7 separate regions of the Mus musculus genome follow, and regions 2, 3, 4, 5, 6 and 7 are each reported to be linked to region 1. The links are microRNA targets in miRTarBase. Many come from high-throughput screens and were not tested one by one. Region 1 holds a microRNA gene; each other region holds the end of a gene's coding sequence. Distances are from middle to middle.
What was found. The annotated mature microRNA mmu-miR-297a-5p reads AUGUAUGUGUGCAUGUGCAUGU and lies in region 1 at 1,714-1,735, shown strand. An mRNA with a match to its seed (bases 2 to 7 or 8) in the 3' UTR can be bound and repressed. Matches are read on the target gene's strand: a 7mer-m8 pairs with bases 2 to 8, a 7mer-A1 pairs with bases 2 to 7 and ends in A, and an 8mer does both.

Region 2: the mRNA of Asb7 is a reported target of mmu-miR-297a-5p. Seed matches in the 3' UTR shown: 7mer-m8 at 761-767.
Region 3: the mRNA of Dusp22 is a reported target of mmu-miR-297a-5p. Seed matches in the 3' UTR shown: 7mer-A1 at 658-664.
Region 4: the mRNA of Cct2 is a reported target of mmu-miR-297a-5p. Seed matches in the 3' UTR shown: 7mer-A1 at 571-577.
Region 5: the mRNA of Trp53bp1 is a reported target of mmu-miR-297a-5p. The part of its 3' UTR that is shown has no 7-base or 8-base seed match.
Region 6: miRTarBase lists Cav2 as a target of mmu-miR-297a-5p. Seed matches in the 3' UTR shown: 8mer at 2,639-2,646.
Region 7: the mRNA of Tnfsf15 is a reported target of mmu-miR-297a-5p. Seed matches in the 3' UTR shown: 8mer at 2,225-2,232, 7mer-A1 at 1,889-1,895, 7mer-m8 at 749-755, 7mer-m8 at 745-751, 7mer-m8 at 741-747, 7mer-m8 at 737-743 and 5 more.

What each region holds. Positions count from the first base shown.
Region 1 is chr7:10,957,078-10,960,211 of GRCm38, reverse strand. Mir297-1 (microRNA 297-1) reads left to right here and starts at 1,700; the gene lies at 1,700-1,775.
Region 2 is chr7:66,645,331-66,648,330 of GRCm38, reverse strand. It overlaps Asb7 (ankyrin repeat and SOCS box-containing 7), which reads left to right. Exons shown (of 6, transcript NM_080443.2): 6 at 406-3,000. The coding sequence ends at 545. Among named protein-coding and RNA genes, the nearest start is that of Asb7, 43 kb to the left of the region's middle.
Region 3 is chr13:30,708,524-30,711,657 of GRCm38, reverse strand. It overlaps Dusp22 (dual specificity phosphatase 22), which reads right to left. Exons shown (of 7, transcript NM_001037955.4): 7 at 426-2,981. The coding sequence ends at 2,799. Among named protein-coding and RNA genes, the nearest start is that of Irf4, 39 kb to the left of the region's middle.
Region 4 is chr10:117,048,509-117,051,642 of GRCm38, reverse strand. Cct2 (chaperonin containing Tcp1, subunit 2 (beta)) reads left to right here. Exons shown (of 16, transcript NM_007636.3): 16 at 367-646. The coding sequence ends at 397. Among named protein-coding and RNA genes, the nearest start is that of Lrrc10, 4.7 kb to the right of the region's middle.
Region 5 is chr2:121,195,618-121,198,751 of GRCm38, reverse strand. It overlaps Trp53bp1 (transformation related protein 53 binding protein 1), which reads left to right. Exons shown (of 28, transcript NM_013735.4): 28 at 145-3,134. The coding sequence ends at 332. Tubgcp4 (tubulin, gamma complex associated protein 4) reads right to left here. Exons shown (of 18, transcript NM_153387.3): 17 at 2,510-2,649; 18 at 1-2,017. The coding sequence ends at 2,005. Among named protein-coding and RNA genes, the nearest start is that of Tubgcp4, 26 kb to the right of the region's middle.
Region 6 is chr6:17,286,805-17,289,938 of GRCm38, reverse strand. It overlaps Cav2 (caveolin 2), which reads right to left. Exons shown (of 3, transcript NM_016900.4): 3 at 809-3,042. The coding sequence ends at 2,892. Among named protein-coding and RNA genes, the nearest start is that of Cav2, 7.2 kb to the right of the region's middle.
Region 7 is chr4:63,726,678-63,729,811 of GRCm38, forward strand. Tnfsf15 (tumor necrosis factor (ligand) superfamily, member 15) reads right to left here. Exons shown (of 4, transcript NM_177371.4): 4 at 1-3,134. The coding sequence ends at 2,912. The region is part of intron 1 of Gm42294 (a long non-coding RNA gene); the gene reads left to right. Among named protein-coding and RNA genes, the nearest start is that of Tnfsf15, 17 kb to the right of the region's middle.

The DNA.
Region 1 (3,134 bases):
GAGATCTGCCTGCTTCTGCCTTCTGAGTGCTGGGATTATCGGTGTGCACCACCATGCCCAGCAATATTCAAGTGTTTTAACTTACAAATACTTTCAATGTTAACATTTGCTTATTTATTTATATTTTTGTTTTGTAAATGATTTATATATTTATTATGTATAATAATATATCTGTATTTCATGTATTACATACATGAAAAAGTATGTGCTGCCCAATATCCCCAGTGCTATTGAACAGAAACAGAATAACACTGGGTCCCCGTTCCAAGTACAGTGAGAGATCCTGCCTGGGGAAAAAGCAGAGAATGATAGAGCAGGCCGCTCAGTGTCCTTTCTGCTCTCTTCCTGTACATAAGCTCATGCATCTGCGTGTGTCATATATACTGTTGCACACCTCACAATATATATACAATATACATATCTGTAGCTGTCTTCAGACACACCAGAAAAGTGCATCAGATCTCATTTCAGATGTTTGTGAGCCACCATTTGGTTGCTAGGATTTGAACTCAGGACCTCTGGAAGAGCAGTCAGTACTCTTAACCGCTGAGCTATCTCTCCAGTTCCAAAGTTAACATTTGTTACTGTGACAATAAATGGCCCTGTGAAATGCTGTCTCTTTCCATAGCAAGGGAGAAGCAATTTCTAATCTCTTCTTTGTTCGTGTTAATTTAGGTCTATGAGGCACATAGTCCTTCCTGTATCATGAAATATGGATAATATAAGATTACAGAGTCACGTTGCCCCACTTTCATGGATCTGAGTTTCTCCATGGAGAAGGAACAATTGGTTTCCTCTAGGAAGGCCCCCTGCAGCAAGAGCAAGCTAGAAAATCTGCTCCCCATGTTTTGTGCAGTCGTCTTTTTATGCAGACTTTGTCCCAGATGGCTCTTTCCACTTCCACGCTGGAAAGCTGGGTTTCTCTGCAATACTTGATAATGGATTATTTCACTGTCTTTGTGTTTTGCAATGTAGTTTTACAAGGTAGTTCTGGGTAGTCTAGAACTTACTAGATAGCTCATGCTGGCCTCGAGTTTTACAGTCTTTCTTCTGTCTTCAGCTGAGATATATACCACCATGCTACGAGGGCTTTAGTTTTAATCATGCAGACTTTTTCGCTTTGATATTAAATTTAAAAAAAAATCTACTACATATTTCCTGGTGGCTCAGTGGGTAAGAGCACTTGTTGCACAAGCTAGGGACTTGTGTCCAGCTTCCCAACACCCACATGAAAAAGTATGTGCTGCCCAATATCCCCAGTGCTATTGAACAGAAACAGAAGAACACTGGGGCCCCATTCTAAGTACAGTGAGAGATCCTGCCTGGGGAAAAAGCAGAGAATGATAGAGCAGGCCACTCAGTGTCCTTTCTGCTCTCTTCCTGTACATAAGCTCATGCATCTTTGTGTGTCATATATACTGTTGCACACCTCACAATTTAATCATTTTGGCTAAAGTGATTTTGTTTTTTGGTGGAGATCTCATGTAGGCCTGGATGAACCCCAAACTCCTGACCCTCCTACTTCAATTTCTCAAGTGCATGCATGTGCAAAAGCTAATTGATTTGTTTTTGAGAAAGGGTATCACTATGAAGCTGACTAGTCTGGAACTTGCTATGTAGAATTGCCTGGCCACAGTCTCACAGAGGTGGCATTAACAGCATGTCCCACCATGCCAGGCCCTAGAGCTAAATTTAAAGAATATGTATGTATGTATGTATGTGTGCATGTGCATGTGCATGTATGCATATTGCATGTATATATTATGCATACATGTATGTATTTGCTTGTGTTTGTATGTGTACTACAGCATGCAGGTGCTTCAAGATGATCAAGAGGATGTTGGTTTCTCTGAAGTAGAGTTAAAGATGGTTTTAGCCACCTGATGTCAGTACAGGATATGGAACCCAGGTGCTTCGAAGAGAGCAGCCAATGTTCTGAACCACAAAGCCATCCATCTCTCCAGTGCCCAGCTAAATTGTCAACGGGACTGCTTATGTTTCTTCCTTTGGGGCAGAATAAAGAGATGGACCTGACAAACCCTTTTAGCTACTGAATCAATTTAAGGTATTCACTCTAGTCAATTTGGAGGTTGTTCAGCATACATAATTATTTGTTTGAGACAGGGTCTACCCATGTAACTCTGGCTGGATGGGAATTCATTGTGTAAATTAGACTAATCTATATATTTTCTACAATCCTGCCATTAAGCTTGGAGCTCTAGGGTTTCTTGTGCCCTCTTCTGGCTAATGAGAGCACTGCATTTGTGTGTACAGATCCATACACAAGCTCCCACAGTATATGCATAATAAAAAATGAAATAAAATCTGGATCAGGAGAGATGACTCATTAGTTAAAGCATTGGCTGCTCTTCTAGAAGACCTTTGTTCAACTTACAGCACTCAAAGTAACTCACAATTATTTTTGACTCCAGTTTTAGGGGACACATGCTCTCTTCTATCCTCTACATGTGCCAGGCATGCAGGTGCTGAACAGACATACAAAAATGCAGGAAAACACCCATGTGCAATCAACCAATCTATTTTTAATTAAAAATTTTTGACAGGAGTGCTGATATACTCCTTTAATCCCAGTGTGGACACTATGCCCCTCCTTAGATTTGGGAACAAAACACCCATGGAAGGAGTTACAGAGACAAAGTTTGGAGCTGAGATGAAAGGATGGACAATGTAGAGACTGCCATATCCAGGGATCCACCCCATAATCAGCATCCAAACGCTGACACCATTGCATACACTAGCAAGATTTTATTGAAAGGACCCAGATGTAGCTGTCTCTTGTGAGACTATGCCGGGGCCTAGCAAACACAGAAGTGGATGCTCACAGTCAGCTAATGGATGGATCATAGGGCTCCCAATGGAGGAGCTAGAGAAAGTAGCCAAGGAGCTAAAGGGATCTGCAACCCTATAGGTGGAACAACATTATGAACTAACCAGTACCCCGGAGCTCTTGACTCTAGCTGCATATATATCAAAAGATGGCCTAGTCGGCCATCACTGGAAAGAGAGGCCCATTGGACTTGCAAACTTTATATGCCCCAGTACAGGGGAACACCAGGGCCAAAATGGGGGAGTGGGTGGGCAGGGGATTGGGGGTGGGTGGATATGGGGGACTT
Region 2 (3,000 bases), 56 Mb from region 1:
CATCTGCCTGTTAGAGAAGAGGACACAGAAAAGGATCCAGGAATAATAATCAACTCCCAGTGCTCTGCTCTCGTTGACTTCTGTCCTCTAGCTATGTCCCACCTCCTGGAGATTCCACAGCACTCACCAAGGCAGTACCATCATTCAGGCACAGAATATTCTAATCGGGTGCCTGACAGGACCATTGCATACTCAGACCATAACATTACCGCCTTGTAAAGAGTTTTGGAAAAGACCAAGTGGGTGAGACACCACAGGAAGGGACAGATGACACTTGAGAATCTCGGTCAGTCCTTTGACTGTAAGATCCACAGTAGACCCTTCCTCAGACAATGCCTTCCCTCACATCCCTCCCTCTCCAATGCTTTGTACCTCTGTAACGTTCTCTTTTCTCTGTCATTTTAGGACAGCCCAGAACCCTGCAGGACCTGTGCCGAATTAAAATTCGACAGTGTATAGGCCTTCAAAACCTGAAGCTGCTTGATGAGCTACCAATTGCCAAGGTCATGAAAGACTACTTAAAACACAAATTTGATGATATCTGATACACCTGGACTGTGGACAAGATTACGAGTTATTCCAGATACTTAAAAGGCTTCAGGCCTTGCACAAAGTATATCCTATGCAATTTCTGATTTGCGGTCAAGTCAGAAAGCAGGTATACACTTTTAGGTTTATGTTTGTTTGGATTTCATTTGGGGGAGGGATCTGTGTGTGTGTGTGTGTGTGTGTGTGTGTGTGTGTGTGTGTCTACACTCACACATACACACCCCACGCTTGAAGGTCTTAATTTGGTTTCTTGGTCCAAGTCGATGAGGTCCAAGCCTTTCTATACAATACTGCATTTAGAAAATTTGTTTTTCCTAAGTGCACAATATAGACAGGTTTGAAGCAGAGAATTTTCCCTTTTGATGCTCTGGTTTCATTGGTGAACACGGTACTAGGAACCAGTAGACGGAATACTTCTTAAAGTTTGGAGGTCTCAGGCTCACCTCCTGTGATCCTGGGTGATGCTGGAAAATTCTCTGTGAAGAAACTTACAGTAATGCTGTCGCCTCATTCATTTTTAATGAGTACAGATGAGCTGTTTAAAAATCCTTTTTCCCTTCTAATTAATGTAGCTTTCCGATGAAAAAAACCAACCCAGGACCTCGGCTTCCTTTGGTGTGCGCTTTTTTTTTAAATTATTTTTTTTAACAACTGTAAGACACTACCCTGAAACATTGTGTTTCAACTCCCCCACCCCCTCTCTTATTGAATTGTGCTTTTAAAACAAAATCAATGGGGAAAGGAATTAACTTTTTAAAGCCAGTGTATTCTGTTTTTTAAAAAACAAAACAAAAACAAAAAATGGTGCCTCTTGTGCAACTCTCTTGGTGTCGTCTCTGGATGGTTTGCTCTTCCTGTTCTTCAGTTGGCTTCCTTGTGCCCCTTGGAGCCATCATCACCACCTCCATCCCACAGCAGGCCACCAGGATCACCTCAGTTTCCACCTTAAACTTTGTGTTTTATTTCACCTTAAAGAACAAATTTCATATTCTGGTGATGACAGAGGTCCCTAGAAATAGCCCACATTCTTGCTAAACCATTCTACTTTAATGACTAAATATTTCAGGGTGGTTTCTTGGTGGATTTTTTTGCCTTCCTGGTAATATGTATACATATATATTTTAAGGGGAAAGTCTCTAATGGGCACCCTTTTGTAAGCCTGGCAAATTGCTGATACGCTAATTAAGTATTTCCTGTCTATTTTGAAGGTGAGTACAGTAAAGCTCTTCAAGACAAATATTTTAATTTTCTGGGTTGGTTGGACAAGTATGTGCAAGAAAGACCCGGATGTAGTAAAGTGTTAGTAACAAGGGGGAGGGCCCAGAGGCCCTAGGCATCATGGGTGTTCCTGGGGACACACACTCACTGCTTCATTTGACGTTATGTTAGTTTGAAGACACCCCCTTTTAAGTTCCCCATGCCATTCTTAGTGCTGTGACAAATTTTTTAAATATTTATAAACTGTTAATAAATTTGCTATCAAAAGGTTGCAGGATAAGGGCTTCTCCTTTCTTGTCAGAATTGCCAGTTTGAAGGCATAGAGGGTAAAGTCTTCCCCTCCTAACATAATTAAGCAGAATTAGGTTTCCCTGAGTTCAGGCTAGCAGTGTTGTTCACTCAAGCCCAAAGCTTGCCGTCTTGGCCAGAGTAGCTGTGACCGCAGAACATTGGGTTTGCGTGTGCCTAGGTGGCACAGGGATTCCTGAACAGGCAAAAGGATGCTTCAGGGACTTGCTGATGTGGCCCATAGCCTCCTTCAGGGAGAGCATGAGGCCAGAGTGATAGCTGGGACCCAGGAAGATAGGGATGGCTGTGGTGACCCTGGCTGAAAGGTTACCTCCATGGAGAGTCCCCTTCTAAGGCACCTGCAAAGCTGTGTTCTCAGTCTTTATTCAGGCCCCAGGTCAGGGCTGGAGACACACTACCAGCCTTAGGGACACAAAGTGACCAGAAATTAGTTGAGTGTAACTTGTGTTAGAGCCCCAGCCCAGCATGGAAAGTGGTGGGAGGAGAGCTGAGAGTCTGGACTCTGAGCTGCCATATTAGTGTCCAGTTGCACAGGAATCATACATGAAAATTAATTTATTTTGTAAGTTAAAAGTGACATTCACTTTCCAGCCATTCAGAGGGTTCTGAACTAAGCCACTGAAATCGAATTGAATCAGGGGATCCCAAATAAAAAGATCATATTAAGGCAAATTCTTTGTGCTGTTTACTGCTGTGACTTCAGAAAAAAAAACAAAAAACAAAAAAACAAAAACAATTCTGAGTGCTCTTCCAGGAATTGAAAATTCTATTTAATGAAGAAGTGTATAATTCCATTATTTATTGTTTGTGGTTTGATTTATCTGGAAGCTTGAGAGAATGTCCTTTGTTTATACTAGACCCCAGTCCTGTGCTGTATTCTATGGTAACGGAAGGGCTGTCCAGTTGCTGATGTGGTTGTGGTGA
Region 3 (3,134 bases), not on the chromosome of region 1:
TCAATTGAGTTTTGCGTTCCTCCATATTAAGAACTGAAAATGAATTTGAAATGAGTCTGTGGACTACCTGTTCGGTGTATCCCTGTGGTACGCGCACTCACCCCTGAGAGACCAAAGACTCAAAGTGTTCATTCTGCAGGGAAAGTCTCACCGTGTCTGACTTCTTTACGTCCATAGTTTCTTTTTGGTGCAAGGAGGGAAGACACAAGGTGAGGGTGTTACTCTGAGCTCCAGCTCCAGCCCCAACAGCCCCAGGACAGTTTTTCCCTTAGTCATCAGTGTGTTATGTTGTGTGTTATGTTAGCATGTGCTGTTCTGCCTTCTCGAGAGGAGCATGTCTTCTGAGCCAAGGCTAGGTGCACTGGGATCCTCCAGAGAAACACATGTGACCTTTGCACGTCACAAAAGAACACACTGCACATGATGTCAGGCTTGGTTGATTTGCCCTTTATTAAGAAATCTGAATAGCTTTTGGTAATTCTACCATATAGAATAACACCAGTAGATAAAACACACACCAAGAGACATGTCTAGAGCTGGAGAACTTAACAGGAGGGCAGAGCTCACACTGCACACTTCCCAGGTGCAGGCTTCCTCCTTGGGTAGTGTTCATGAGAAGTAGTTACTATTACGAAACAGACAGGGCTCTTGAGATTATTGTATGAGCATCGGTCAGGTCCAAGGAACAACCACAGCAGTGGAGTTAAGGCAAAGATATTTTCTCTTGCTACAGAATATCCATAGATCTTAACATATTCCAACATGATTATACATGCATTTGGTTTAAAATGAAAAAAAAACAAGTATACAAATCACTATTGGATTCTTAAAAATAAACTTTACATCACTTTTCTTTTTGGCAGCACCAGCCTGAACTTTGCAATATTTCAGAAACTTCAGGTACATTACAGTCTTCTGAGAAAGGCCCAGTACTTCAGAATTCCCGGGGCAGCTGTGGAGAAAGAACATTACTGGCAACAAAAATTAAGACAGTTGAGAACCTATGGAAAGGTATGCAGCTGTTCATACACGTGCACACATACTCAGGTACTCAGGCGTCACTCATGCTATTGCTTGGCACGGCCTGCACACAGAGAGCTGGCAACCACACCTTCCCTGGGTCCCTGAGGGCTCCACACACACAGAGAGAGGCCTGCTGCTTCTTCCTCAGGGGCTTCTCCTTTTTTTTTTTTTTTTTTTGGTTTTTCGAGACAGGGTTTCTCTGTGTAGCCCTGGCTGTCCTGGAACTCACTCTGTAGACCAGGCTGGCCTTGAACTCAGAAATCCGCCTGCCTCTGCCTCCCAAAAGCTGGGATTAAAGGTGTGTGCCACCACTGTCCAGCTCCTCGGGGGCTTCTTGGGGGTTTCTTAAGCTTCAGAGATGCCTGGTCACAGTACGTTTAGGGAGAGGTTGAGTGTATTTTTCATTTGCATGGTCCTGCATGCTTAAGCAACGTGAATTGGCATAAAGGACTGGACACTGGACTGTGCAGAGCTTCTAGGGGTGCCTGCTGCCACATACTTTGAACTAAGGAGCTCTCATGGTCAGAATGTAGGGTTTGACTCACTAGAAAACCTTACAGAAGCCAAGCTGCAAATTTTAAATCACTCAATGACATAAGTATGCTCTTCTCTTTGGTTTCAAAAACAATAGTCACATGACAAACATTCTCAACTATGAAGCAGAGTTGACTGGGGTACCAAAGAAACCTCAACCTTAAAGAAGAAAGAAAGGAAGGAAGGAAGGAAGGAAGGAAGGAAGGAAGGAAGGAAGGAAGGAAGGAAGGAAGGAACTTCATGAGGTAGCGGTCAAATCCACAGCATACAACAATGAGCTCAGTGAATGCGTAGGCATTTTAAATCACAAATGGCTATGGAGTTTAATAACTGCCTTTCTTTCCAGTTCCTGCAGGTACATGCAAACCTGAGATGAGACCCCTGCAACAAGAGGCTAAGCCAGAGGCTAAAGTGTTTAAAAGCAGACAGGAGGTGGGCCAGACCTCTGGTATAGGGCTACTGAGTCTCAGGTCCACCCTGTCACCATACCATATCACCATGAAAGTCAAATGACGCTGGTCCCACGCAGAGCAGGCACCAGTGGAACTCAGGGCCATGACGGGCTGGCAAGTATACTTATCAAGTCCAAGACAGTGCTCAGAAAGCCCCTCCCTTGTTCCCACAGACATAAAACTCTCTAGGATTATGCCACTCTTCCTCAGGAGGGTCCTGTCCCTTCCTCTGTGCCATCTCAGAATCTGGAACACCACTGTTTCCAGCTGCCCACACCCTGAGCTCTCACTCAGCACAGGCATAAGCTGTTACTTGGTGAGTAGCTTTCCAGAGGCCAAGTTCAAATGACTTCCATGTGGACTGAACAATGTGACCATTGCAGTTCTGGCAGCGGGTGTTTATAACTTTCAGCACCATAAACACTCAGTGCCCACATGCAGAGACACATTTACATGTGTACTTGTTCACAATGCATACATTTGTAGGTATATATGCACACTCTTAGACACATACATGCACATCCACACGCCTGCACACATACGAGAAGTACACGGTGGCCGGGCAGCATCCCAGGCTGGGCAAGTTCAGGTGAGGAAAAGATGGGGCGAAGATGGGAGAGTGAAAAAGCCTGAGTAGGGCGGTATTCTGAGAAGGAGCCCTGAGTGCTCCACCTTGCTGCGACCTCCTCTCGTAGTCCTCAGAGGCAGGAGCCAGCACACCAGGCACACCAGCACATGGTAGGCAACCCAGAAGACCCGCAGCAGGAAGGCAGACACCAGCTCTCTCTGTTAGGTCTCTGTTGTGTAGTTATTGTAGGTGAGAGGAGGCAGGGTTGAGAAGCTGCTCCACCGCCTGCTGCTAGGCCGGGGCTCCATGCGCCCTTGCTCTTTATATTTACCCAGAATATTTTTGGCTTCTTCTGCATCCCGCAAAGGGTTCTCTCCATACTCTTCTCTCAGCCATTGCCGATACTGGAAAAGTTGGAAGGAAATCCCGAGCGTTACGCACACATGAATTCCCAGGGACTCTCACCTCTTAAGCAATGGTGAAGTTCCACATATGAACATGGAAATAAAAGGTCATTGGGCATCAATTACATCTTTGTGGTTGACAGCCAATAGCAA
Region 4 (3,134 bases), not on the chromosome of region 1:
GCAGGATGCTTGCAAGTTCAAGTCTAGTCTTAGGGTGTGTGGTAAGATGTGACCTTCACAAGATGGAAAGAAAGCAAAAACCAGGCTAGCCTGTTTTGGGAAGTGTATTGTTTATCGAGTAGCTGTTTGGGTCAGGCACTGCGAACTGCTGAGTACAGGCCTGCACACTGCTGAATTGTCCTGTGTCCTCCTAATAGTGACAGTGATTGTGTGGTGTTCCGTCCTCATGGGAAGTGGGCCTGCAGTGACTACTGAGACAGAGGTTCTCGCCGTATTTGTAGTCAATGAAAATATAGTTGAAACCATACTTGTCATTGTTTACTTTTCCTTAATAGTGTGGGTTGTTTTTTTTTTTTCCCCTTACAGGAAACGTGTCCCCGATCACCACCCCTGTTAAGCATTCCCATTTGCTGATGAACTCTGGGCCAGTTCATAGCAAAGTTGTACTTGGAAGACTTCAACCTTTAAAGAAGACTGGTGGAATTGACCTGTCCATGATAGCCTTAAGTTTGAACATTAGCTGACCTTCTGTGTTAAACATGGGTCTAATTTATTTACTGTTTCATTTTCCATACAATTCAGTTGATTTACAAGTTCATTTCTCATACTGTGTATTAAAATAAAAATCCAGTTACTTAGCCCTTAATGTCTTACTGATCTGTATATATCCTGTTTGAAATTACTCACGGAAGCAGTCGTACCTCTGTAGAGTTGTTTCAGCCTAATCAATTACTGACTTTACCGTTTAATAAAGTAATTATCTTAGTTATGCATACACACACACACACACACAGTCAGGCATAGCTTTTACTGAACATTAATTTGGAGTAGAAGTACTGTAAGGTAGAGTTCTGACTTAGTTTAATATGAGTACCCCTTATTACATTAGACAACCTTTTTATTTCTGAAGTAACGTTTAACCATCCACAGCTCTCTCTCTGGTGCCTTAATAGGGTAGCATTTTCCTATCCTAAGTGTGAGTGTTAGATGTCATAACTGTCTTGTTAGGGTTTTTTGTTTTGGTAAACAGGAAATGAGCATAGGTATGTATTAGGTTTAATTTACAGTTGACACAGATGTGGAAGTTAATCAGAATATTGAAGCGTGCACAGAATTGAAGAGCTCTCAAAGGCTTAGGTGTTTTATTGGCTGCCAGGGCAACAGGCTGCCGTCATGGGGGGCAGAGGGATAGGAAGTGACTCAGTCAGTGATGTGCTCGCCACATAAGTGTGAGGGCCTGAGCTTGGACCCCTAGCACATGATACACACCTGACTCCAGCACTGGAAAGGCTAAGTGGTTACTAGTCACAGCTAGCCTGGTTACATAGGTGGGCTTCAGGGTCAGTGAGAAGTAGCCTGGTTTTTTGTTTTTTTTAGATATATGTGCATGAGTGTTTGCCTGTATGTTCCTGGTGCCTGAAGTCAGAAGACGGCCTGGGAGTCCTTGAAATGAGTTACAAGTGGTTGTCAACCACCATGCAGATGCTGGGAACTGAGCCTAGTTTCTCTGAGAGCACTAGTCACTTAGTCATCTCTCTAGCCTCTCTCTATTTTAATACCAGGAATTTATTAGGGGTAGGCAGGATGGTTCAGTGGTCAAAGGTGCTTGTCTGACCTCCATGTGTGAGAGGTGGCCAGACCCAAACCCCAAATAAATACATGTAAAAAAATACAAATTGGTACTTCAAAGAGCTGTTAATGACACGTTAGTGTCAGTGCATAGAAAATACAGGATTCTAGGATCCAGTAGGCTGCACTGGTCTCTCATGGGGCTGACTCCCACGAGGACTGGGCTGCCACTGTTTAACTTGGGAGATGTTGACAGGGTGTGGGAGGGAACCTCTTCCTGATTCTCACAGCAACTTCTGGGTTCTGATTTCTTTTTTCTTTTTTAAGATTTATTTTTAAATGTGGGGTGGGCATTTGTACTTGAGGTACAGCTGTCCTGGGAAGCCAGAGGAGTTGGGTCCCCCCCCCCCAGGAGCTAAAGTTACAGGTGGTTGGTTGACTTGGGTCTGGGAACCACACTTAGTCCCCTTAACCACTGAGTGTTTCCAGCAGCAGTTTCTACATATGTGACCGGTTTCCTCCATGGCTGTTGAAGTGGATTTGAGCTGTACTTCCCTGTGAACTCGACCCTAAGGATCAGAGTTTGCTGCTATTGTTACTGTCTCCATTCCTGTGCCCTTTATCCTCTTCAGTCATACTCTGTTTAAAACCCGCCAGTGCACTCACATGTGGTAAATCCAGATGCGTTACCTTGCTAGGTTCCTGTGGGTGCATTTTAATGTCTTCATAAGTGGGAACTTTCTGTAGATCACAATTGTTAGAGAACTTTAAAACTCCCAGCATGAACAATAAGGGAGACAGGATTTAGAGTCCTGCCTTTAGTTTATGAAGCTGAGGATGGAACCCAGACTCACAGGTTAGTAAGTGGCAGAGGTGGGGACTGAGTCCAGATAGCTAGGAGGGGGGCTTCCCTCCGCCATGGTACTGCAGAGTTCTCTGATGCCTGTGGCCTGTGCTTTTAAGGTGTTTTCAACTTATTTTGACTTCAAGACAAAAGCCATGCCCCTCCCTAACCCCTGAGTTTGAGACTGACTTAGCTGTGCCTTAGCCTCCTGAGTGCTGGCGTTACAGGTATGTGCTAGTCTTGGCAAATCCCACCTATGGAGTACAAAATTACAATTTACAGTGGTATGCCACTTAGGGCAAAATAGAAAAGCTTGGTGGTCTATTTATTTCCCTAACAAATGCTAAAGATAAGTGGGTAGGCACGGTAGGAGTCTAAGCTTTGAGTTCAGCTGAGACATCATATTGAGGCTGTCTCAAAAGAAAACAAGTTAGCTGTGTCCTGGGGTTTTTATTGCTGCGATAAAACACATAACTCCATCCCCAAGGGAGGGAAGTCAGAGGAGAACCCGAAGCAGAAGCCATGGAGGAGTGGTGCTGGCCGGCTTTCTTCTCGTGGCTTCATTTACTTCCCTATAGTACCCAGGACCCGGGAGTGGTACCTTCCCTAGTGAACTGGGCTCCCCCACAGCAACTACTAATCAAGAGGATGCCACACAAGCTTGCCCACAGGCCCATCTGGTGGAGGCGTTTTCTCAGCTGAGGTTTCCTCTTCCCAAGCG
Region 5 (3,134 bases), not on the chromosome of region 1:
TTTAGATTATGAACATACAGTACCTAGAGTAGAGGGCTTTGGTTTGGCAGAGTAGGGAATACCTGTTAGAAGGCACACCTGTCTTGTTTTAATAGGAGCTAAACTGAGTGTCCCTCCCTCATTCACTTCCCCTACTTTTTACAGACATTGCTTTAGGGGTATTTGATGTGGTGGTGACAGACCCCTCATGCCCAGCCTCGGTGCTCAAGTGTGCTGAAGCCTTGCAACTGCCTGTGGTATCACAAGAATGGGTGATCCAGTGCCTCATTGTTGGGGAGAGAATTGGATTCAAGCAGCATCCAAAATATAAACATGATTATGTTTCTCACTAAAGATACTTGGTCTTACTGGTTTTATTCCCTGCTATTGTGGAGATTGTGTTTTAATCAGGTTTTAAGTGTGTCTTGTGTGTAATTGTATTCTTTGCATGGACCTTGTACATAGTTTTATTTGCTGGACTTTTATGATAAAATAAATGTTGAATCTCTTTGGTTGTAGTAACTGGGATGTCTTCATCTGTTTCTTTGAGCTTAATCTCAGAACATGATAAACATAGGATCTTCTCTGAAGTTGTCAGCAGGCTTGTCACTTTAGCAGTACAGCAAACAAAGGGAGATAAAAATAGAGGAGTGAGCTTTATTTTGTGGCATCACTGTCAAGGTTATCCCAGGCTACCTAAAATGTTATACTTCCAAAAACAGTTTAAAGTAGGTGAGGGCCTGGGTAAACAGTAGTGCTAAAGTTGAGTGGGACTGGGAACAGCTCTGGGTATCAGGAGTTTATTGACAGATGACCTGCTACTGGGAACATGAACATGACCAGTTGTTAATGAATGGACAGTGACTATAAATTTGCTGGGACGGTTTTCTATAAAATAAGCTGTCACAACTGTTGGAAGTTATTCCTTCCTCACACTCATCATCATCATCCCTGTTAGCGAACGGCTTCTCATTCTCTAAATAAAGCCAGCGGTCTCATTTTTTCTATAGTGCCAAATAGTAAATACTTTTAGGCTTTGTGACCACACTTGTCTGTCTCAACAACTTGTCTTGTCTGTGAGCAATCACCGACAATAGCTAAATTGAGTATGTGTGGCTGTTTGAATAGTACTTTATTTACAAAAACAAGCAGCAGGCTGTTATCTGCTTTTAGAGGTGAGGTAACAAGGTGGGATAATCCTCCTGGGTAGTTGACAAGTACGGGCTCAGGCTTTCATAGTGGTTGGTAGACAGTGTAGATGAAGAGAGGACTCAGTGACTACAGACTGAGGCCCGGATGTTTCATTCTTGTCCAGCTTGGAGGGAAAGATGTCAGTGAAGTGTTTTGTTTATGCTGATGAGAACATTAGTATGTTCTCAGCCCGTGGTGGCTAGGCTATCTGACCATAAAACCTTAACTCATGTGGCAGGTCTAAGGTGGGAAAACTGGGTTGCAGTGAAAACTAAATTGTTTCTAAATCTAAACAATTTGACCTCTATCCTCTTTAGCCAGAATTGCCCTTTTACTAGTCTGAAAGAATTAGAACTCACTGGCTCAATTCTTCAGATAAAGGATACTCAAATCTTAAATTTTAGGGAAGGATAAAGATAGTCTGTGTAGTTACAAGGTACAGAAAGAGGGAAAGCTCACAGGCTCTCTGAAGGGTTTTCTCATTTGGTGGTGACACAGAAGCTGACCTGTTCAGGAGCGTGATTCCGTTCTTACATGAGCCAACCCACTGTTTACTGTGGTTATCTTCCATAGGAATATAGTAAGTGTTCAATAAACCCCGGTTACACAAATGAACCCACCCAACAGATGTCTTCAAAATCCTTCGTGTGGTCAGCAGAGGGATATCAGACCCCAGTTCCCCTACAGGAATGGCAGGGAGGATTTTTATACCTCTGCATTTCTTCTAGAAGACCCTTTCAGCAGTCTGCAGGCATTTGATGAATGATTTGAGAGATTTGTTACAGACATCAGAATGTGGCAGGGCTGTTTCATTTTTTGAACCAGAGTTTTCTTTTACATCCCAAAACTATAAAAGAAAAAAAAAGTTTCATTAAATGCCATGCCTTCCAAAGAAACATGGCAATCTGAGATAGAGCTAACACCATGGCAACAACACAGCTCTCTTAAGAAGCCGACGATGACCACTGGATATCAGTATTAGATTTAAGGAAGTTTAGAAGAGAGCATGGCACCACAGCCACACTGCTGCTAGTACATGTCAGAGCAGGCAGTGGAAGCCAGACTGCCCCCAGAACATAGCAGTACATAGCCTAACACAGACCTTACCCTCAGCTTTAGTATTTTAATATGCTGATGAACTTCACTAGAAAATAAATTCCAGTAAAATTGTAGAACATGATCACCCTACTCCCATACCCCCAACCCCTTCCTGCATCTCTGAGCCTTGTTTATAAAATGAGGGTAATCTGGAGGTGATGGCCAGAGTTGCATTTTGGTCTTCTATTGTTCATTAACCCCCTCCTCCAAATCTAGTAAGTGCCCCATGAATTGTTCCTACCTGCCCAGAGTCCCACCAGCCTGGGTATAGTATTTATTATAGTCTAGCCGGAGCAGTAACTGAGCCAAATCTGAGTTGATCTGGTGATTCCGAACACTGGAAAGAATCTTGAACAGGAGTGAAGACTGGCGACTAAAGCCCTGTTGAGAGACCCGAGCTGTCAGTGACCAGGCTAGGGTACTGGGAACCAAGGGGGTCTTTGGAAAAGCTTTGCTTAAATGTTTGCAGGACCACCTGGCCTTCCCATATTCCCATTTCTATCAGCTCCTAACATGACTTCTTAGTACATGTCCGTGAGATGCATGACTCCCATGAAAGTGCTTTCTCGTTAGTAGGAATTTAACAGCTCATTTAAGATTAATATATTCCATCACATACTGGGATTGCAGTGATCCTGCTTTGTTACAAGGAGATAAATATAGTCTGAGATTATAATTATAAGTGAGATAGGAGGCTGGTTCAGGGAAGGAAGTGGGATGTGAGAAAATGAGCACAAAGCCAGTGCATACTTGGTGGGCTGAAGAAACTATTCAGGGCTGAACTATTTCTGAACACTGTGAGGCAGCACATTATATATTCACCGATACCAGCGCTTTTATCTTTTTATCTCGTCATTTCTATGTCT
Region 6 (3,134 bases), not on the chromosome of region 1:
AGATGACTAGTAAAAAGAGGGACTTTTAAAGTTCTTTCAATCTATAAAGAACATTCGAAAGCAGCCAAATATCTGATTTATTAACAGATTAATTGACCACAAGAAAGTCTGTGCCAATATCAACAGTTGTTCCTCACACACTTACTCTCCAAAAATAATTTTGGAGAAATCTGGCTTTGGGATACAAGGTATTTTAGTATGTGAGTTATAATGGTATCACTTTCATATTTAAGACTTAGAAATAGAGGCATCAGTTTATTTAGGATTAGCAACATGAAACTTTACAAAGCTCGAGCGTGGTTGGTTTGTGAGCAAGCCACCACATATTAGTTATCAAATGACAGGAACATTTATGCAGAATCTCTTCAAGTGCTAGGAAAACAGAGAACTAAACGATCAGTCTCATAATTCTTCAGGACAACATTCTTTTTCCTCATGTGCATTTGCAGTGTGTGCGTCCACATTCTCTCCTGTGTGCACACACTTGTGTACGTGGTTGTGCACTCAGCTGTATGCATGCAGAGGTCTGGGGTTTGATGTCAGAAGTCTTCTATTACTATTCACCTTGTTGGCTGAGGCAAGATTTCTCAGCTGACCTCGGAGCTTGTGGATATGACTAGTCGGCCAGCTGGCCCTGGAGATCCCATCTCTGTTTTTGGAATGATGGAGCTAAAAATGGACTGCCAAGTTTGCATGGCTTCTATCTGGGTTCTGGGAATCCAAAACTCTAATTTGCTTGTATGGCAAGTACCATAACCATTTACCCATCTCTTCATCCTGACAGATACATCTTGGAACAGCAACTCGTGTCCTTGTTATTTGAGATTTTAAGAAACTTTATTTGAAAAGGTTCTTGTTCCTGAGTACCAGATGTACGACATAAGCAGCAGAAAGACAAACTATAATAGAATCAATGAAATCATCCACTGTTTTTAGAGATGTTTATTATGGATAATAAGGGAATTTCTTTGCCTCTGACTTCCAATTGCCCTGCCCCCAAAATCAACATATTTGCATATTTAACTTTGATTCCTTTTATCCACAATTTGAGTTTTTGAGACAAAATAATTCATGAAAAGTTTCAGTAAAAGTTCAGTTGAAAGTAATCAATACTATTTAGGAAAAGGAAATCATATATATTAAAAATTAAAGATTTTTATATATAATTATACATATTTGTCTTAAAATCTGTCAGAACTATTTTAAAAGGTTGAAGCTTATAATTTATTAAACTGATATTTTATTGTTAAAGTTTTGACTAATCAATACACCCAGGCATTTAAAACTTAAATTACAAAAATAATATAAAGCATGAGACTGACCTTGGAAACTAGTGTGATACAATCTTGACAGTCACATTAATGGCGATGCTTGTGGCTATTACCAAGCTATGACTTCGTTTACTGAGGATGGTACAATACCCTAAGGCTGTTTTGAAATGTTTCTTTTATGATTACCATCAAATTGATATGAGTTTTATCACTTAGTCTCTTAATATGATATTTTGACCTGGTCTGCAATAGAATCCCAGTTCAATGACCTATAATAATGACCAGAATTGAAAAATTGAAAAAAATTTATCTTCTTTCAGTGAAGATTTGACACCCATGAGCATATTCGAGCAAATGCTCATTCAGGGTTTGATAATAATTCTGAAATTTGAAATATTATGTAATTATAATGTAGAAATTTTTTAACATACCAATTTTTAAAAGACCATACTGAGTAAGGAAATAATGTTTTATAGGTTTTAAGATTCATACTAGAGAACATCTTGAAAATTTGTAATGTTAGTTTCTAATTTACACATGTACTTCAGTTTTATAAACCCTCACAATTGTTAATTCTCCTGTAAGTTTCTCTATATGAACCACTGTAGTAAAAAAAAAAATGTGCTTAGATGTTAGACACAGCCTTTATCATAAAAAATATTATTAACTAGCACCAGAATTACTTGAAAGTAAGTGAAGCATTCATAGGAATGTAGAATACAGAATAAGTTTCTAACCATTCAGAAGAAAACTTATAGTAAACAAAACAACTACATGTCTACATGTCTTATGGTCACAGCCAGATGAAGCCCAGTCATAAAACATTTGCTGGGTAAGTTGGAGAGAACACCTAGACAGCACATTTTACACTGCATTCCAAAGAATCTATCAACATTCTCCTATAGGACATCACAGTCTTACAAAGAAAGTTACCCTATGGTAGCTCTGCTTACTTTATATAATGAGATTAGTACAATAGCAAACACAAGAGAAACACACTCCAAAGCGATTTCATTAGAGTAACACTTGCATTAGGTATACAATATACAGAAAAACAAAACATCTTGTTAAATAGGCTTGCAGGCTAATAATATCACAGAGGAACACATTTTCACATTTATCTCTCTTACTATTCAATAGTTATTATCATAAGTATATACTTTTGTTAATGTACAAAGTTCCTAGAATGTTGGAATGTATTGCCTCTAGCTAGCCTTATGACCATATCTGTAAAAGTAGCTTCAAGAACATTACTCCTAGAGGAAAAGAAAATAAGAAATTCCTTACTCTTTATGAGCAGTTATGCACAAAATTACTCTAATGTCTGAGGAAGTTGCCCTTTGACCATTATCAAGTCATCACTGCAATTGTATGTTTTTTCCTAAAGATATCTGTTCTTACATTGGGTGTTGCCAATTCTTGTTATATAATTAGATATAACTTGGCTTTTGGTGAGAAAAATCATTATTTTTAAAGATCTGACAGTGAACTTCGATAAATCTGGGTTCCATTTTAAGAATAATTTTAACAGTTGGGAAGTGAACAGAACAGTAGTGAGTTTGTTGCATCAATAAAGTTGTACAGTATCCAAATGTCTGGACCTGCCCAGGGTCTGAGTGGTCAGTCGTGGCTCAGTTGCATGCTGACCGATGAGAAGCTGCGGCCCACACTTGTACACAATGGGCCAATGACAACGTCTGTCACACTCTTCCATATTGTCTGCACGGAAGGCAAGACCATTAGGCAGGTCTTCACAAAAGGCATCAGGATCCTGGAACGGGGGGAAGAGGGAGATACAAGCATTGTTAATATTACCACTAACAATTTGCATTACCAAGTAAGGGGCCTGACACACATGCTTGA
Region 7 (3,134 bases), not on the chromosome of region 1:
AAAAAAAATGAAAAGGAAAAAAGAAGATCACTTAAGCGGAAATTCGAACCATTTTGTTAATGATTGTCTTTTATCAAATGGCACCCATGTTTATAATAAGAAAATATCAGTGTGTCTCAAGTTAGCTAATTAATTAGCTAATACAAACAGAGTGATTAAAAGCTCCACAGACGATGGAGATGCCAATCTGTTAGAACGAGTGGATCTGAGACTAAAGTAATTTATGTCTCTGTCCCCAGGGCAAGCAAGCACTAGGTAAGCATTTACAGACCCGATTTGAATTCAGCAGCCTTTGAGATGCATTTGACCGAAAAGCATTTCTCACTAAATTAACTATTTTCCAAAACACACACCCCCTCACCCAATGAATATATTACCTTATCTCCAAGGACCAGCCTGGGGTCTATTTTTTTTTTTTTTTTCATTTGAGACAAGGTCTTGTTATATAGGCAAGGCTTTCCTGAAAATTACTATTTAGCCCCTGTTCTCCTCAAACTCACGGCAATCCTCCTGGCTCAGCATCCCATGTGCTGGGTTTACAGATGTATGCCATTACACTTGACTCCATCATATATATACTTTCAAAACTATTTTTTTCATTTTGCTTTAGAAAAATAGCATGCTCCTGTTTGCATGGGAATACTTAGTATCTTGGAAACAGAAATGCTGGTTTGAGTCCAATTAGTAATGTTTGATGCTGCCTTCATGACAGCATATGTATGTATGTATGTATGTATGTATGTATGTATGTATGTATACCCACAAATCAACAGTTACAGTCTTCAATAAACAGGGGCAAAATAAATGCATGTCAGGCACAAGGACTCAAGCATCTTTGGCTGTCAGGAAATTCCTGTCTTGGATAAATTCCCAAGCCATCCAGATCACTTCTGGGCAGCTTTGAAGGCCCTTGACACAAAGCTTGGGTTTAGTAGAGGGGATGACCAGGTCACTCTGGCTACTTTTGGGCAAGTGTTTTCCTATAAGTCTATGTTGCTCAATATTCTCATGTTCCATGAAGATATATGCAGGCAGAGAGAGCATCTCACTCTCCTTTCTGACCTTGGAGTCAGACTGGAGTCATTGATAAAGCATCCTCAATTGACCAGTGAGCATTACTCTCAAGGTTTTAGACCTAAGCCAAAAAATAAGTCCTTCTTCTGAGACAGCCCTTCCTCCAGGTCACCTCAGGCTGCTCATCTTCTTTCAGGTGTGGTTTCCCCTATGAAGAACCAGGGGAAGGCGACCTCACCTTTCCCTGTGTTCTCACTGAGACCTGTGATACTTCAAGAAGTTGAAGACAGAAAAAGTGGCCAATGTAAGTTGGCTTAGCAGAAGCTAGATAGTATACAACTTAGGTTTAGTAGGCAGTGGAGATGAATTTTCTAACAAATTATTACTCAACAAATTTTGATCAGCTACTACTTTCCCAGTCATTGTGTGGGAGTCACGCTGCCCAGCTCTGCTTCGAAGGTTTCCTAGAAGATGGCTCAGCAGTGGTTTGGGGCTAAGTTTACCCTCTGACTCCTTGTGGCATCTACCATGACACGAGCATTTGTAATAGAGACTATATAAAGGCTGCAAACCAAACTTGAAAGCAGATCTAGATAAACACCTCTGGATTTGATGACTGACACTTTGTTGTTGGTCTTCATAGTACATTGACTCCTGGCATGAATCAAGTGTTTCTACAGTGCTCCATTTCACTTGATGTCTGTCTTTAAATTCCTTCAGTGTCTCTATCAGCTGGTTAGCCTATACTGGACAACGATGGAGACAACATTCTCAGGAATGCTGTCTTTCAGGACTTGAAATTTTTCTTTAAAATTTTGTTTTTGTTTTTGTTTTACACTTATTTATTTAGTTACATGTGTGCATGCCACATCATTTGTATGGGGGTTTGAGGATAATTTGTGGGAACCAATTCTCTCCTTCCAGCTTTTGGGTTCTGGGAGGTCAAACCCAGGTGTCAGGCTTAATGACAAGCACCTTTACCCAAGAAACCACCTAGATGGCTGACTTGAAGTTATACTTTGGAAGTTATACATTTTGAGTGGTAGTTGATCAGGAAGTATGTATTGAGGATTCATTTAGTTTTTAAGAAAATTTGACTTTCTCTTCATGGTCCTGTGGGCTGAGTGCCCAGAGCATAGTAGGTACTCAATAAACATGTTCTCACAATAATAAAAGTGTTCTATGTTCCATGTGCATTTGGAATTCCCACTTGTATGTTTGGATACTAAAGGATGCAATCAGAAGAAAGGTGAGGTTTCTCCTTCACAGCAGAAAACCAATTCCTTTTAGGGAATATTCACGAGAAATACCATTTTTTCTTTTTTCTTGTCTTGTCTTGTCTTTTCTTGTCCCTTCCTTCCTTCCTTCCTTCCTTCCTTCCTTCCTTCCTTCCTTCCTTCCTTCCTTCCTTCCTTCCTTCCTTTCTTCTTTCTTATTTTTTAGGTTAGGCACAAAAGAATGTGGAAATGCATTGCCTCTTGGAGAAATAACATCATTTTCTCAGTCTTTCTTTGGATTCTGTCTTTAGCTCTTGATCTGGAGTAAGTTCATTGTCGAATTCAGCTCTAACTGAACTGCTGAATTCAGAAAGGACTTGGACAGAGGGCACTGTGGAAAGGTTCTGTCCTGAAATCAGTAGATTGTGCCATTGGATGAGGCGTGTTTCAATTTTTAAAACCCAGCAGGTCTCTATCAAACATGAGCTGTACTGGGTTTTCCATTTACTATTTTAGTCCATAAGGCATATACGGATCAATATTGGGTTCCTAAATTATATAGCTAAACCACTGTCCCCTTCCCTGATCCCTCTAAAGCCCCTGTTTATAGATCCATATGAGAAAAGGAAATTGGAAAGTAGGAGGCAGGGGAGCCCCTTGGAATGATGGTTTTCTCCTCCTTATAGCAAGAAAGCTCCAAAGAAAGTTTTATCTTCTTTTGTGTAATCCACCAAGGAGATGTCACTGACGTTTACCATTAGTCTGTCTCCTTCTTCCAAGGAGAACGTGGCCCCAAGGTAGAGGGACTGGAACCAGTTGTTGCTTATTTCACACACAGACTTGGACCCTGTTAGTAGGCGGGCAGGCTCAGGGTAGCTGTCTGCTACCTTGGTGATAACCATG